Linked DNA regions of Elephas maximus indicus. The protein of the gene in region 2 interacts with the protein of the main gene of each other region in a pairwise test. Links are inferred from orthologs where the notes say so. Each region holds a gene or a part of one and is shown on either strand. Other genes may lie near its edges.

Evidence for each region.
Region 1: the proteins of TOPBP1 (region 2) and CIP2A interact in a two-hybrid assay, tested with the Homo sapiens proteins (2 studies listed by BioGRID). The link is inferred for Elephas maximus indicus from reciprocal best matches to the Homo sapiens genes TOPBP1 and CIP2A.

What each region holds. Positions count from the first base shown.
Region 1 is NC_064836.1:80,958,597-80,966,468, forward strand, and holds the start of CIP2A (protein CIP2A), read right to left. Parts: upstream 3,041-7,872; 5' UTR 2,946-3,040; coding exon 2,844-2,945; intron 1-2,843.
Region 2 is NC_064844.1:46,133,205-46,141,000, reverse strand, and holds the start of TOPBP1 (DNA topoisomerase 2-binding protein 1), read right to left. Parts: upstream 3,101-7,796; 5' UTR 2,918-3,100; intron 2,855-2,917; exon of another isoform or gene 2,055-2,854; intron 1,939-2,054; exon of another isoform or gene 1,934-1,938; 5' UTR 1,932-1,933; coding exon 1,848-1,931; intron 1-1,847. UniProt on the Homo sapiens protein: Scaffold protein that acts as a key protein-protein adapter in DNA replication and DNA repair. Composed of multiple BRCT domains, which specifically recognize and bind phosphorylated proteins, bringing proteins together into functional combinations.

The DNA of each region.
Region 1 (7,872 bases), on a different chromosome or scaffold from region 2:
GCAGCCCAGCACTTAAACACCGAGCTACCAGGGTTCCTTCCCTACAGCCCTACCAAACAAACAAACAAAACCCAAACCCACTGCTGTGGAGTTAGAAATTCTGACTCATAATTTCACTACTAGGTATATAAGAGAAGTGAGAGCATATACTCAAAGACATGCATGAAAATATTCACAACAGCTTCACTGATAATTCCACCCCAAAACGGACACACGCCAATGCACATCAACAGGGGAATGTACCTAACTGCGGGGTGTTTACATAACGGAATTCTATGCAGCAATAAACAGTGAAGTCCTGGTACAAGTGAAACATGAATAAATGTTAGTTCTACTGAATGAAAGCAACCAGACACAAAAGAGTACATATTATATTTGTTGACTTATATGAATCTTGTAGAAAGGAACAATGAAGAAACCTTATGGAGTGATGGAAACTTCCTAGATCCTGATACAGGTGCTAGATACGAAGTGCATATGAAATGTTAAAAAAAACATCAAGCTCTTCAATTAAGATTAACACACCTCAAGCACTTTACTGTAGGTATGTTATTGCTAAAAAAACACCAAACCCGTTGCCATTGAGTTGATTCCAACTCACAGTGACCCTACAGGACAGAGTAAGAACTTCCCCACCTGGTTTCCAAGGAGCACCTGGTAGATTTGAACAGCCACAGCTCTTAACCACTAAACCACCAGTGTTCCCCAAATAACAATAAGTCCCTGATAATTATAGCTTGTGCTCTTCTCGGCTTTGCATCAAAATGCCCCAATGGTAGAATTTTCTCTAAACTGCCTCAAAGTTTGGGAGGGTATCAAAGAGCCAGCCTCTAATCCACAAATTTCTTTGATGTTTCCTTTAATTCATGATAACCTGTTCATTCTCAAAGAGAAGTAATGTTTTAGATTACCATGTAAAATACTTAACCCTGAATTCTTAAATAAAATTGATGGCCCTACTTTTCCATCCTGTGGCTTCTGGAATCCACCAGTGCACTGCTCTGTTCTTGAGACGCAAAGCCTGACCCACCTAACAGTTAACATGTTATTAGGATGCAGTGATTTGTGGAGCCAACGAATGAGAAAAAGAAGGCAAATCTGCGTAGGGGATAGGCAGCTGTACTACTATGAAGAGCAATACCACCAAAGCCCAAGAGAAGAAACACACATTTAATATACTCCACTTTTATAAAGAAAAACAAAAAACTGTTGCTGTACCATTTGCAATCACAGGGTTAGTATGTCAAATAGATTTTAAAATTATGTTCAATCTAATGCTAAGAAAAGGAAGCTGCGACAAAGAATTCTCAAAACAAGCTTTGATTCAGCTTAATTGCTTTTCATGAGGCTGAGGTTACATGTTAGTTTGAATTCCATGAATGTGACACAAATGACAGCAGAAGATTGAGAATCTAAAAACAAACAGGATCACAGAAACAAAATCGTGATTACAATTTTTCCAAAGGAACGTCATAATAGAATAAGTAGTCTAAGCACAAATCACAGGAACTAATCGAAAAAGTGAAAGCAATTCAGCATTTAAGGATTTCAAAACTCTGAGCGATATATTTTGGTAAAGAAAAAAGATTATGATCACTAGTTTCGGGGAAGAGGATTGCTCCTTAATTCAAAGAAAGTTGAAATAATAATTTGCAAGTTCGAGCTCAACACGAGTTCAAACAAAAGCAGTAAGCAACAGGTTCAGATTGTAAAGTGGCTAAGGGCAAAATCAAGTTTTAATCCCCCCCCACCTCCGCCGCCCCCTAGAATCCTGAATATTCTGTGAGGGCCTAATTTCGATGCAAACAACGAAACAAGAAGCAAAAGAAGAGAAGACACAGCTCCTAGCTCTCTCCGAAACGTGCCAAACACCCGGCCCTTGGTGCCAGCCTCCCTGTTGCCGGTGCCCGGGCTGGGGCGGGCGCGGACGGTGGGGAGTCACGGCTGACACACGTTCGCCCTCAGCGGGAACGGCGACAACAGCCGCCGGAGCGGTCACAGCTGACACACGTTCGCCCTCAGCGGGAACGGCGACAACAGCCGCCGCGGCGGTCACGGCTGACACACGTTCGCCCTCAGCGACAACAGCCGCCGGAGCGGTCACGGCTGACACACGTTCGCCCTCAGCGGGACGAGAACAGCCGCCGGAGCGGTCACGGCTGACACACGTTCGCCCTCAGCGGGAACAGCGACAACAGCCGCCGGAGCGGTCACGGCTGACACACGTTCGCCCTCAGCGGGAACAGCGACAACAGCCGCCGGAGCGGTCACGGCTGACACACGTTCGCCCTCAGCGGGAACAGCGACAACAGCCGCCGCGGCGGTCACGGCTGACACACGTTCGCCCTCAGCGGGAACAGCGAGCGCGAACAGCGACAACAGCCGCCGGAGCGGTCACGGCTGACACACGTTCGCCCTCAGCGGGACGAGAACAGCCGCCGGAGCGGTCACGGCTGACACACGTTCGCCCTCAGCGACAACAGCCGCCGGAGCGGTCACGGCTGACACACGTTCGCCCTCAGCGGGAACAGCGACAACAGCCGCCGCGGCGGTCACGGCTGACACACGTTCGCCCTCAGCGGGAACAGCGAGCGCGAACAGCGACAACAGCCGCCGCGGCGGTCACGGCTGACACACGTTCGCCCTCAGCGGGAACAGCGACAACAGCCGCCGGAGCGGTCACGGCTGACACACGTTCGCCCTCAGCGGGAACAGCGAGCGCGAACAGCGACAACAGCCGCCGGAGCGGGGGCTGTCGTTCCAGCTCGGGCCGCCACACCGGGCAGCGGACCAGGGGTCACTGGAGGAAAGCCCCATCTCGTCCCCACCCCAGGACCCCGCACCTCCAGGTGCCGCAGAAGCTGGGTGGCGTTCGCCTCCGACTTGACGGCTTTGTACTGACTAATGGTCAGCAGCAAGGACTTCAGGCTGGCAGTGGAGTCCATCCCGACCGGCCCAGCCTCGCCGGGGACCGCCGCCACCCAGCCCTCTCAGGACCTCCAGCTCCGGCCGCGCTTTTTTTGATTTTCGGCCGCACCCCCTCGCGCCCAGCAACTTCCGGTTCCGGTCGGGTTCCGGAAGTGTTTGGGGCTCTGGGGGACGGCCTCTCAATGAGGCACAGGCTGGGTCTGTGGGTTGTGGCGCTCCTTCCAACCCCTCCCTTTCCTCTGAGCTCGCGAGGTTTCATCTCCGAGACCCTTGAGAACGAGCTATCTCGCGAGAAGCGCGACTGTTTCTTCCAACCCACAGAGGGGCGGTGAAGCGCCGCGGCTGCGTTGTTGTTTTGTAAGCTTTGCTTTCGTTTGCTTCCTGGGCCCTCACGCTGGATGGCTGGCTTTTCCTTTGCGCATCATCCTTTACCTGAGAAATAGTCTAGACACGGTGAGGAGCTCTGAGCAGAGACTCTTTGGGCCCTAGAGTTTTGAGACAGCCGGGGAGGGGACCTCGCTTTAAATCTTTACCTCGTCGACCCTAAACCATTGGAATTTCGTGACGGCTGTCAGGTCCTTAGCTGGCCTTTGTCAGGCTTATTCGAGAAAACCACCGCCGGGCAACTCCTGGGCCCGGTGATGGCGGTGGGTGGCTTCCTTAGCGTCACTTTCCGTAAGGGGAGCTGTCTTTCCGTGTGGCATGGTTGTGATGTCAACCTCGCCGCCTACGTTCTCTGCTTTTTCTTTTTCTTTTTAAATCAGAGGTAATGAGTACTGTCTAATTAGTATTATGCATGTGTATATCACGAGGTGAGTCAAGTAGCTGGTTCTGCAGCTTCCTTAATTTATGCTAAAAAAAAAAATACCTAATAAAGCTTTAAAAACCAGTCTGGAAAATTTTAAGACTAGGGTACATCTCTAATGAAATAATTCATCAGAAATCATGTTTTGTCGAGTCAAAGATGTATTTTTTTTACATCATTACATTTTTAAGGCCAGGTTTATTTTTATATTAAAAATGTCGATTTCACTATTATATCTGAAAGCTTAAAATGATTGAGACAAACATGTAAGGATCATTACGTAGGGAATGTATTCATTCATGCATTCATTCAGTAAACAGTTGTTGAGCGTATAACACATACAATTGTCAGTAACAGCACAAAGATAATGATGCCTCCCCTGCTGGGAAGTAACTGCCTGGTAAGGGAAACATATGAAGTAGTGCATATGGAATTTCGTATACAAAAGACAGACACCAGGTAGTGATGTAAAGAGTGGAGCCAGGCTGTCTGTCTACAAATCCTAGCTCCATCTTTTTACCGTGTGACCATAGGCAAGTTCTCATTGTGCTTCAGTGTAGTAATAAGGTAAAATCTGGCTAATAAAAGTAACTGTTAACTAGATTTGTTCATTAGATAAACATTCATTGGGAGCCTGCAGTGTGCCAGGCAGTATTCTGGCCCTCGGGATTTAGTGAGTAAAACAAAAACCCCACTGCCGTGGAACTTACATTCTGGTAGGGAGAGAAAAAAATATACACCATTAAAAAAAATGATACGGGGAAAAAACACAGCAGAGTTAATACTGTGGAATAATGGCGTTTGAGAAGAAGGTGGTTATACCTGTAATTTTCAGTAGAGTAGTCAGGAAAGGGCTGCTTGAGAAAGCAATATTTGAAAAAATACTGCAAGGAGTTGAGAGAGAGCCATGCTGTCTAGAGGAAAAGGCTTCCAGATACAGGGAATAATAAGACCAAAGGCCTTGAAGTAGGACCATGGCAATGTGTGCCAGGAAGAGCAAGGCGACTACCATAGCTGAAGTGGAGAAAGCAAGGATGAGAACAGTTGGAAATAAAGTCGTGTAAGGTCTTAAAGACCTTACAAAATGAGTCGGTCGACGTAAAGAGTTTAGAACAGTGTGTGGCATAACCAAGTTCTTGATAAGCATTGGGTGTCATTGTCATTTGTTGGCAAATACAGTGATAAGAGTTTGATACTGTTAGACTTTTCACCTTGCAACGAATGGTAAGTGTGCCATCATCACCCCCATCCTGGGGCAGAGGAAGGAGTCTACTCTTCCTGCCGTAGGTGGCATCTTTCTTTGAAATCTTGCATTTTAACTTAAGCAGTAATGCAAATTTCACATTCTTTTCCGTAAAATCATGTTATATATAAAATAATGTCTTCCTCAGACAATACTCATCAAAAATTGACGCTGTAAGTTTAGTGGGACATACTATGTAATTTTGAGGAACCTTGATGTCTTTAGTCAGAGACACTGGCGTATCCTCACTTGAGAAACATTAGAGCCATACGTTTAAGCCCAAAGTAGTGGGGGAGGGGGAGAGGAGACTGGGTCCAGATGACTGAAGGCTTTATTGGCTTTGATCTTGGACTCCATTCTGAATTCAGGGGCAATCTCTGGTTTTACACTTGGGTATGACCTAGTCAAGTTTCTGTTTTAGATTGAGGACTCCGACAGCTGAATGGCTATGATTTTGAGGAGGGTGAGGGAGTGACTCCACGGCAGCTAACAAGAAGTCTAGAAGTAGGGAGACAAACTTACTGGAGCCTGTCCAAAGGATAACCAGTGTAGTGGAAGTGTAGATAGTGGCAATTTTAAGAAATACGTATGAGGCAAAATAGGCAGGATTTAGTGACTGATAGTGGATATGAAGAGTGAGGAGTGGGAGTGTCTAGAGGAGTTTCCACATTTCTAGATTGGGCGACAGAGAAGATGGAGGCAGTGCCTAGGCAATTAATAGAGAGTATTCAGGCTGTATTTTATGTTCAGTGAAATTTTATGTAGTTTATCATATAGTCTTGTACCATCTCATTAAGTTTATTTCTGGATGTTATATAATTTTTATTACTCTAAATGGGTTCTCTTTTTCTCTTAAAAAATTTTAAGTTGTTAATTGCTACTCTAAAAAAAGATGCTGATTTTGATCTGTCTTTTATCCAGCCTGGAAACCCTGGTGTAGTAGTTAAGAGCTTCGGCTGCTAACCGAAAGGTTGCAAGTTCGAATCCCCCAGATGCTCCTTGGAAAGCCTGTGGTGGGGGGGGCAGTTCTACTGGGTCGCTATGAGTCAGAATTGACTCGGCGGCGGCAGTGGATTTGGTTTTTTTTTTTTGGTTCTCCGGTTTATCAACTGAACTCTCACTAATTGTAATAGAGCTTCGCTTACTCTCAGAGTTCTAACTATAAAAACTATATATTATCTGCAAATAATAGTTTCATCCCCTGTTTCATATCTGTTGTATTTATGAGTCGGAATCAACTCGATGGCGCTGGGTTTGGTTTTGGTTGTATTTATTGCAATAGTATAATGTCTAGTATCTAATCATGGTGATATTGAGCATGTTTGTATTATTGCTTAATTTAATAGGGATATCTTCAGTATTTTAACATTTAATATAATTTGTGCTAATGGCTTGTGATAAATATTCTTTATTATGTTTAAAAGACTGCCTTCTAGGCCTGCTCTATTTAAATATTTGTCAAAAATGTCTGCTAAAAATTTATCAAATTTTTATCAAAAATCTTCTTTTTCTCTATAAAATATTAATGGAATGGATTATGTTGGGTGTTTTTTTTTGTCTGTTTGTTCTTGGGATAATAATAATAGCTAACACTGAACATTTGCCAAATGCCAAGCACTAGTCTAAGGACTTTATACTTACCCATTTAATCTTCTTAACAACTTCATGCAATAGGTACTATTATGATCTCCATTTTACAGATGGAAAAACTGAGACAGAGAGAAGTGATTTGCCCAAGCTCAACAAGGAAGTATTAACAAACCCTATATATGGTGTGCCACAGGTGTTGATTTGCTGATATTTTATTAAGAATTTTGTAAGAATGTTCATAAGTGAGAGTTTTCAATAAATTTTTTTGTATTGTCTATTTTGGAATGTGGGTTATATGTTACTTTTGAAAAATGAATGTGAAGCATTTCAATCTTTTTTCTGTTATGGGATAATCAGATTACACAGGAGTCATCTGGTACTTGGCTATATGCAGCTGGCCGATAAAATCATCAAGCTTGGTACCTTATTTAGTGGTATATCTTCAGCAAATATTTGAATTTCAAATATGGTTAAAGTTCTGTTAATTTTTTTCCACCTTGAGTTCATTTTGGAAATATATATTTTTTAGCAAACCAGTTGTTTAGATTTAAAAATTTATCAATACAACTTGCATTCGGTATTCCAGTCAGTCTTTTTCTTTCTTATTTGTAGTTTTAAATTTCCTTTTTCATTTTAATAATATCTATTCCTTTTCTTAGTTGGACTTTCTATTTTATTCAACTTTTCAAGAACGAACTTTGGTTTACTTATTTTTTTTTGTTTACAGTAAGCAGTTTTACTTTTATCTTTATTAATTCCATCCATTACATGGATTTTTCTTTGTTTCTAGTTTTTTTTTTTTTAAAGTTGAAGGCTTAGTATATTTCCATACGATAACTTTTTTCATAAAAAAGGTTTATTTTTATGTCCACCAATTTTTTTAAGGAAGTAGATGTAGCGAGCATCTGCATTTTACTTTGTTAATAAAATAATTATGTATACTGTATTTTTCTGCAAATAAAGCATGCCTCCTACATTTTTTTGCCAACTGCTCCCTCCCTCTGTGAGGTACTTTCGTAAGTGCAGCTATGCCAATTTTTACATGTTGATGTAAAAAGAATTAGCACAGCCTATTTATGAAAATACCTCAGGGAAGAGAGATCAGTTGGCAAACAAACGTAGAAGGAACGCGTTATTTGCATAAAAACATGGGTAATCATTTTAACCAGTCAGGTAATTATATTTTTAAAATGCTAATATTTATTCATTCATCATATATTTACTGAGTTCCAGACATAGTTCTTTTTCAAGGAGCTTAAAGCCTATTGGGGGAAATGGACAAACCAGAGTAGGTGTTACTAAGAGA
Region 2 (7,796 bases):
CTTGTTTGCCACTTTATCCTGGAACCTAGTAAATACTCAAATATTTCATGAACAAATTCTGAAATGTCTATGTCCTGAATTTTGAAGTCTCTATGTCCTTAAGGAGCCCTGGCAGCACAGCAGTTACAACCCTGGCTGCTAACCAAAAGGCCAGCGGTTGGAATCCACCAGCCACTCCCTGGAAATCCTATGGGGCAGTTCTACTCTGTCCTATAGGGTCACTATGAGTCGGAATAGACTCAACAGCAATGGGTTTGATTTTTTTGTATGTCCTTAAAGTGATCCTTTTAAAGCAATGTCAGATCAAAAACTCCTTTATTAAAACCCACCACTGGCTCTGTACTTCACTTAGAGGCAAAAACCAAAGTCCTTACAATAACCCATAAGACCCTAAATGATTTCTTCACCCTTACTTTCTGAAGTATCCTTTCATACTCTCCCACACTCCTTGTACACTCTACACTAACTTTCTCGCTAGTCCTTGGACAGACAATCCACGGACTTTCCCATGGGCCTGTGAACTGGTTATTCCATCTGCCTGGAACCTTCTTCCCCAGAGAGCCCAGTGGCTCCTTCAAGTTTACTCAAATATCACCTCCTTCAAGTTTACTCAAATATCATCTTCTCCACAAAGCCTACCCTGATCTTACTCTATTTAAAACTGTAACCTCCCCTTCCTCCTGGCAACATCCTCCAGAACCCCTTAACATGCTGTGCTTTTTTCTCTTCCCATATCACTGAGAACCTTATAGCACACTATATAGTTTATTCATATGAGTTTACTGATTAAAGTCTATTTCCCCCTGCTAGAACGTAAGCTCTGAAAAAGCAGGGCTCTTTGTCTGCTCAGGTAACTGATACATGTATCCCAAGTACCTATCAGATCATGAACCAAAAAAAAAACCCAGTGCCGTCAAGTCGATTCCGACTCATAGCGACCCTATAGGACAGAGTAGAACTGCCCCACAGAGTTTCCAAGGAGCGCCTGGCAGATTCGAACTGCCGACCCTTTGGTTAGCAGCTGTAGCACTGAACCACTACGCCACCAGGGTTTCCAATCAGATCATGAGCACTCAATAAATATTTGATGAATGAACTTTAAGGAAAAACCTGCTACAATACTCCTGAAATTTTAATGTGCACAAGAATCACACTGGGGATCTTGTTAAAATGCAGATCCTAATTGGTAACTTTAAGACAGGCCCTGAGAATATACATTTTCTAACAAACTCCCAAGCCATACTGATGTTGTTGAGGTCTGTGAGTAGCAAGGCTCTACACCACCTCTTAAAAAAAAAAACAAAACAAAACCCAAACCCATTGCTGTCAATTCTGACTCATAATAACCCTACAGGACACAGCACAACTGTCCCATAGGGTTTTCAAGGAGTAGCTGGTAGATGTGAACTGCCAACCTTCTGGTTAGGAGCCGAACTCTTAACCACTGTACCTGGACCCTCCATATTATACCGCACATAATGAAACATACTTTTAACACTTAACCAAACAAGTGCTGATGTGTGATCAGTACACAAATGACTCAAATTTATTCACACACAAAGAACCACTGTGGTTAGTAAACAAAAGAAAGCAACTTAATTTCCAAGAACTGCAGGTCAGCCACATCCAACAGAAATGTTATGTGTTTCAAAGACCCCAAATACACAATAATAACATACATACTTAAAACAATTCAAAAACATGTAATGATGCTATATCTATATTAATGTAAAACCATTATGAAGATAAAGTATCTATGGCTAAGACATAAAAAGCCTAATTTTAAAAAACACTAAAAAGAAGAAAACGAACTTACAGCATCAAACCACATTTTCAACTATTCTTACCTCCAGGGCTTTGAAAAAACATTCAGAATTGTCTGGAGACTTTAAAAACTTCACAAAGAACGGTTCTTTGTCATTTCCGGACATGTCTGAACTGTCAAAATAAAAGGATCATTAACGAGAAAAAAACATACCACATATATTTAGTTAAAATTTTAAAGCACCCATTTTTCTGTGCAGGCAAGAATGTCTAAGGATAGGCATTCTGACCTTAACATGAACTCGTCCTGCACGTTTGTAAGAAATGCTAGAATGTCAGCAAAATCCAAGACAAGGATGACAACATCAAACCGTACAAATCAGAGACGGAAGCTAATGTCCCTAAATTGAAGGCCATGAGGGCCCCTGCACCGGGGGCTTTACGGTAAGTCACATCGGCAAATGGACGTTCAATTGCCCGGTGCCTAAGGATAAGCACTTCTGTGCCTGCGGAATCCACGGCCCTCGAGGACTGTCCACCTCTCAGCAAACGGATTTTAAACGTAAACACGGAAGCCAGCTAGCGAGGTCGTGCCCCGCAAAGGGCCGCCTCTCCCCGCCTCCCGGTCCCCAACGACAGGCCCGGCCGTGGGTTCGGCCGCAAAGCAGAGGGCCGCCTCTCCCCGCCTCCCGGTCCCCAACAACAGGCCCGGCCGTGGGTCCGGCCGCAGAGCAGAGGGCCGCCTCTCCCCGCCTCCCGGTCCCCAACGACAGGCCCGGCCGTGGGTCCGGCCGCAGAGCAGAGGGCCGCCTCTCCCCGCCTCCCGGTCCCCAACGACAGGCCCGGCCGTGGGTCCGGCCGCAGAGCAGAGGGCCGCCTCTCCCCGCCTCCCGGTCCCCAACGACAGGCCCGGCCGTGGGTCCGGCCGCAGAGCAGAGGGCCGCCTCTCCCCGCCTCCCGGTCCCCAGGGACAGGCCCGGCCGTGGGTCCGGCCGCACAGGCTCGTCCCCTCCGGCCGCAGAGGCCCGCCCGCCGGTCGGAGGGCCGGTTGGAAGGGCGGGAAGCCAGGGCCCGGAAGGCAGGCCAGCGGCGGCGCTGCGGCCCCTAGTTGGGGCGGAGAAAGAACCGGGTCTTCATCCCGCGACTCACTCACCTTGGTGGAGCCCGGGAGCCTCCGGCTGGCGAGTTGGGGGGCGCGCGGCCGGCAGGACGACGGCGGGGGTCGGGCGCCAGCCCGGCGCAGACCCGCCCCAGCCGGCGGCGCCCCCAGCCCGGGGGAATCGCAGGACAACCCGGAAGTGGCCGAGGACGGGAACCGACTTTCGCGCCAACGGCGCGGGCCCCTCGCCTCTTCCGGCGGAAGTGATGCCGCCTCATCACGCAGAGGGGCGGGCGATGCAAACGCCTAGGTGGGCTGGGCCGGCTGTTTGGCCCTCGAGCCGTGGGATGGGGAGTTCTTTAAGAGATTGGGGCGGATCCCCAGGGGTTTGGGACTTTCAGGGCTGGCCTGGGCTCCCCTGGGAGCTAGCGGACCCCTGACGATCCAGGGCGCGGGGCTCCAGGCCAGTAGTGTTCCTTTAGTGGTGAAAGTAAAACCCGAGGGAAGGAGGCTTTCCCCTGTCTCCATGAGCCGGAATTCCCTGGATGGCGACGAGGAGCACCTTGTGCCTGGCAGTGCTCTAGAAACGATACATTATCATCCAGAACAGCTCTGTGAGGCAGATAGTGGTATGTCCATCATACAGATGGAAGAACTGAGTCTTAAAGAAGTGGTGTATCCTAGGTAGCGTATTAAGTGGTAAGATAAAGACTGAATCCCCGTCTTTGTGACTCCAGGTCTTTTCCCTCCAAAAGAGCAGGAATGTAAATCACCGCCTATCACAGCCTGGGGCTCTGAAGGGAGGAAAGATGTCAGGATGACTTGGGTCGCACAGCTAACGCAGAGGGCTCTTTGCAAAGATTTTCAGTGGTCCCTGCTCCCCTTCGAAGGGCATCTCACTTTCGTTCTCTGCACTTGCCTGAGTTTTGGGGATGAAAACTAACGTTCAAATGGCAAACAGTACGGACGGGATTAAAATGGGCCTGCTTTATCTCAAAACCAAAACCAAACCCACTGCTGTTGAGTCGTTTCTGACCCATGGTGACCCTGTTGGACAGAATAGAACTGCCCCATAGGGTTTCTTTGGCTGCAATCTTTATGGGAGCAAATTGTAAGTCTTTCCTCCAGGGGAGTTGCTGGTGGGTTTGAACTGCTGTCCTTTCGGTTAGCAGTACAGTGCTTTAACCACTGAGCCACAAGGCTTTTGGAGAATCTTAGCTGGTTGAAAATCAGTGATAAACTACTTAGTTCGTTCTTTTTATTTTATCCTTGATTGTTGAGACTGAGAAGATCTTGACTTAGAATAAAGTAATGTGAGAGTTTCATTTCATCTACCTTGGTTATATTTTTCTTTTTAGAGCCTAAAGATGGCAATGAGGAGCTTGGGTCTAAGTGTATGAATATACCAGCAGAAGGTGAGTCAGGACCAGTAGCATTGGGCCTCAAAGACCATTGTTGGGGAGAGGGTGACCAAAGCCTTAAAAACAAAAATTACTAAAAAGCAAAACAAATATTACTAAAGCTGGAGGAAAAACAGAAGCCACTGCTAATTGTTCCAGTGCAAACCTGTCATGAAGCTGTCATGATAATTAATATGTGGCAAGTACTTTACACTTGACAGAGGACTCCTCTCCTACTTGCACTATCCTCATTTCCTCTTCTCAGGCATCCTATAGTCCGAACTCACTGCTGTGGAGTCAATTCCAAATCACACAACCTATAGGCAGAGTAGAACTGTACCATAGGATTTCCAAGGCTGTAATCTTTAAGAAACAGACTGTCATCTTTATCCTGCAGAGTGGCTGATGGGTTCAAACTGCCTATTTTTGGGTTAGTGGCTGAGCTCTGGTGGCGCAGGGGTTAAGAGCTCCTTCGTCCTATACCCAACCCAGTGCCATTGAGTTGATTCCGACTCATAGCGACCCTATGGGACAGAGTAGAACTGCCCCATAGAGTTTCCAAGGTTAGACTCCAGAAAACCAAACTAGCTGCCATTGACTCATAGTGACCCTATGAGACAGACCAGAACTGCTCCATAAGGTTTCCAAGGAGTGGCTGGTAGATTCAAACTGCCAACCTTTTGGTTAGCAGCAGTAAGCTCGCCATAGTTTAAGTATGTGGGTATTATTGTCCCGTGTTATGTAGATGGGGAAATTGAGGCTCAGAGACTGTGTGGCTAGCCTAGGGCCGCACAGCCAGGAAGTAGGCTGGAGAACAAGCAGAGTGGCTGGACACTGCACACTGCTTCTGGCTACATGCTGCCTGCTCACTCAGCATGAAGGTCACCAGCAGGGCAGGAGCCCCCGTTCCTGGTGCGTATGGGGCTGAGTGCAGGCCTCACAGAGGAGATTCACTAATAACATGCTGCTAATGAAGAAGAGGAAACCCTGGTGACAAGGTGGTTAAGTGTGATGGCTGCTAACCAAAAGGTCAGCAGTTCGAATCCAGCAGGTGCTCCTTAGAAACTCTATGGGGCAGTTCTACTCTATCCTGTAGAGTCACTATGATTCAGAAATGACTCGACAACAACGGCTCAATGGCTTTAATGAAGAAAAGGAAAACAAAATGCCTTTTAGCTTTACAAAAAAAACAAATAAAAACACCCAGTTGTCCTCGAGTTTATTCTGACTCATGGTGACCCCAACTATGTCAGAGAACTGTGCTCTATAGCATTTTCAATGGCTGATGTTCAGAAGTATGTCGCCATGCCAGTCTGGACTCTTACTTCCAACATAGCAGAGCGGTTAACTGTAACACTAAGGCATTACTAAAGGAATGGGCAGAGAGGGTCTTTATCTGTCCCTGAAGCCCCTAATCTTGGGCAATAGATAAGAGTGGTGGTTCTCAAAATGTGGTCTGGACCAGCAACTTCATCATCATGTAGTAACTTGTTAGAAATGCAAATTGTTAGGCCTTACACTAGAACTACTGTGTCAGGAACTCGGGGGGTGGGACCCATCAGTCTGTTTTAACAAGCCCATCAGGTGATTCTGAGGCACATTAAAGCTTACTTAAACAGCCATTCTTTCAGGGAGGATGAAAGTATTTATATGGGTTTGTGCTCCATGAGGAGCCCAAGTAACACAGTGGTTAAAGTGCTTGGCTGCTAACCAAAAGGTCTGCAGTTCGAGCCCACCAACCTCCCCGAGAGAGGAAAATGTGGCAGGTCTGCTTCTGTGAAGATTAACAGCCTTGGAAGCCCTGTGGGAGCACTTCTGCTCTGTCCTATAGGGTCATTGTTTGTCAGAATCGACTCCATGGCAGCGAGTTGGGTTTCGTTTGGATGCACTATGAAGATTTTTGTGAGAATGGGGATTGGTTATGATGCGCCCTCAAGCAACTGTCTCAGAAGCTGGGGCTTGAGGGTTAACTTTCCCCTCATCTCCCTGGCACTGCTTGCTTTCAGGGAAGCAGGCCACATGTTGGAAATGGCAGAGTCTCCCTCAGCCTGAATCCCTCAATGACTGAGTTGAGATGTGGAGGGGAGCCTGTCTCCCACCTCAACCAATCATTGCCACTATTGCCAATTGGGCTTTATGTTATCAAGACAGTATCTTCTACTGTGCTGCCACTGTTATTGCAGCTAGTATCACCCTCACCAATTCTGAAATTGGCAACAGTTTAAACAAACATTTTTCGACTGAAAAATCTGTCTTTATTATTATAAGGGCCCTCGGAAAGGAAAGTATGAAAATGTTCCAGAGAAAAATGCCAGAGTCCACATGGGAAAGTACATGGACTGTGGAAGCAGGCTGCCTGGTTTGAATGTCAGCTCTAACATGAACTAGCTCTCTGAGGTTGGGCAAGTTGTTTAACCCTTTGGTGACCCAATTATTTTCTGCTTGGATTTTTTTGTTGATACCATGTGTTTTTATTAATGGAAGCATTCTGAATCATTGACTGTATCTGAATTTTTGTAGGTAGTATGGATTTTTTTTCTTGTCCCCTCCCACAAGTCTACCCTAAGTGTTCAGTGGTACGTATGAAGTCCCACTAGTTATACCCCAGAGTCCCCACCCAGACCTATGGGTACATATATGTAACAAATAAAAACTTTCAAAATTTCTATTTTTCCTATCAAAAATTCAGGCACCTTCTACAATACCCTGTAAAAACAGTAATTTGCAGCACACACCCATTTGTTTGGTTTCAAACAGTCATAAAGGTCCCTGCCTTGCAGCAGCACACACTGTCAATGATACAGCAGCTTCCCAGTAAATCCCAGGGGCTGAAAAAGTTCATGGTTGCTGTATATACTGCTAGGCCTGAAAGAATTAACCTGTGTGTGCTTTACTTTCTTCTGTGAACCAAACCGATGGGGATGATAATAGCGTCTCCTTCATGAGGTCACTAAATTAGTGTTTGCAAAGCACTTAGCAAAGTGCCTGGTACGAGGTTTTGATACATTTAAAATTTCCTAATTTTCCAAAGGCCATCCTTGCCATGGAGTCTTTAATTGTTCCCCACAATATAATGCTCCAGTCTTCTATTCTGGAACTTGTGAGAGCATGTGCCAAAACAGGCAATGGCATTATGACTTTGGATGTCCTTCCATTGAAATATGACTTTGTGCATAGGAAGTTATCAGAGTCTGTGCTACTCCGGGTCAGAGGGCCCCCTGAGCTTTATTGAATTTGGGCTGTGTTAGCTTTTGATCAATCATTAACCTTAAGAGAAATGGTCATCTTTGGACTGTCTTTGTTTTTTGTCCACAGGTCTAAAGAGAAGATTGTTCAACCACCTTCTGAGACATTTGGTTCTGTGCATTTATTCATCCATTTTGATAATTTTTTTGTTGTCAGACCAGTAAGCCTGGTCTTTGTATGTGCTTTATATGAAGGTTTACAGAGCAAATTAATTTCTCATTAAACAATTAATATACATATTGTTTTGTGACATTGGTTGCCAACCCCACAAAGTGTCAACATTCTCC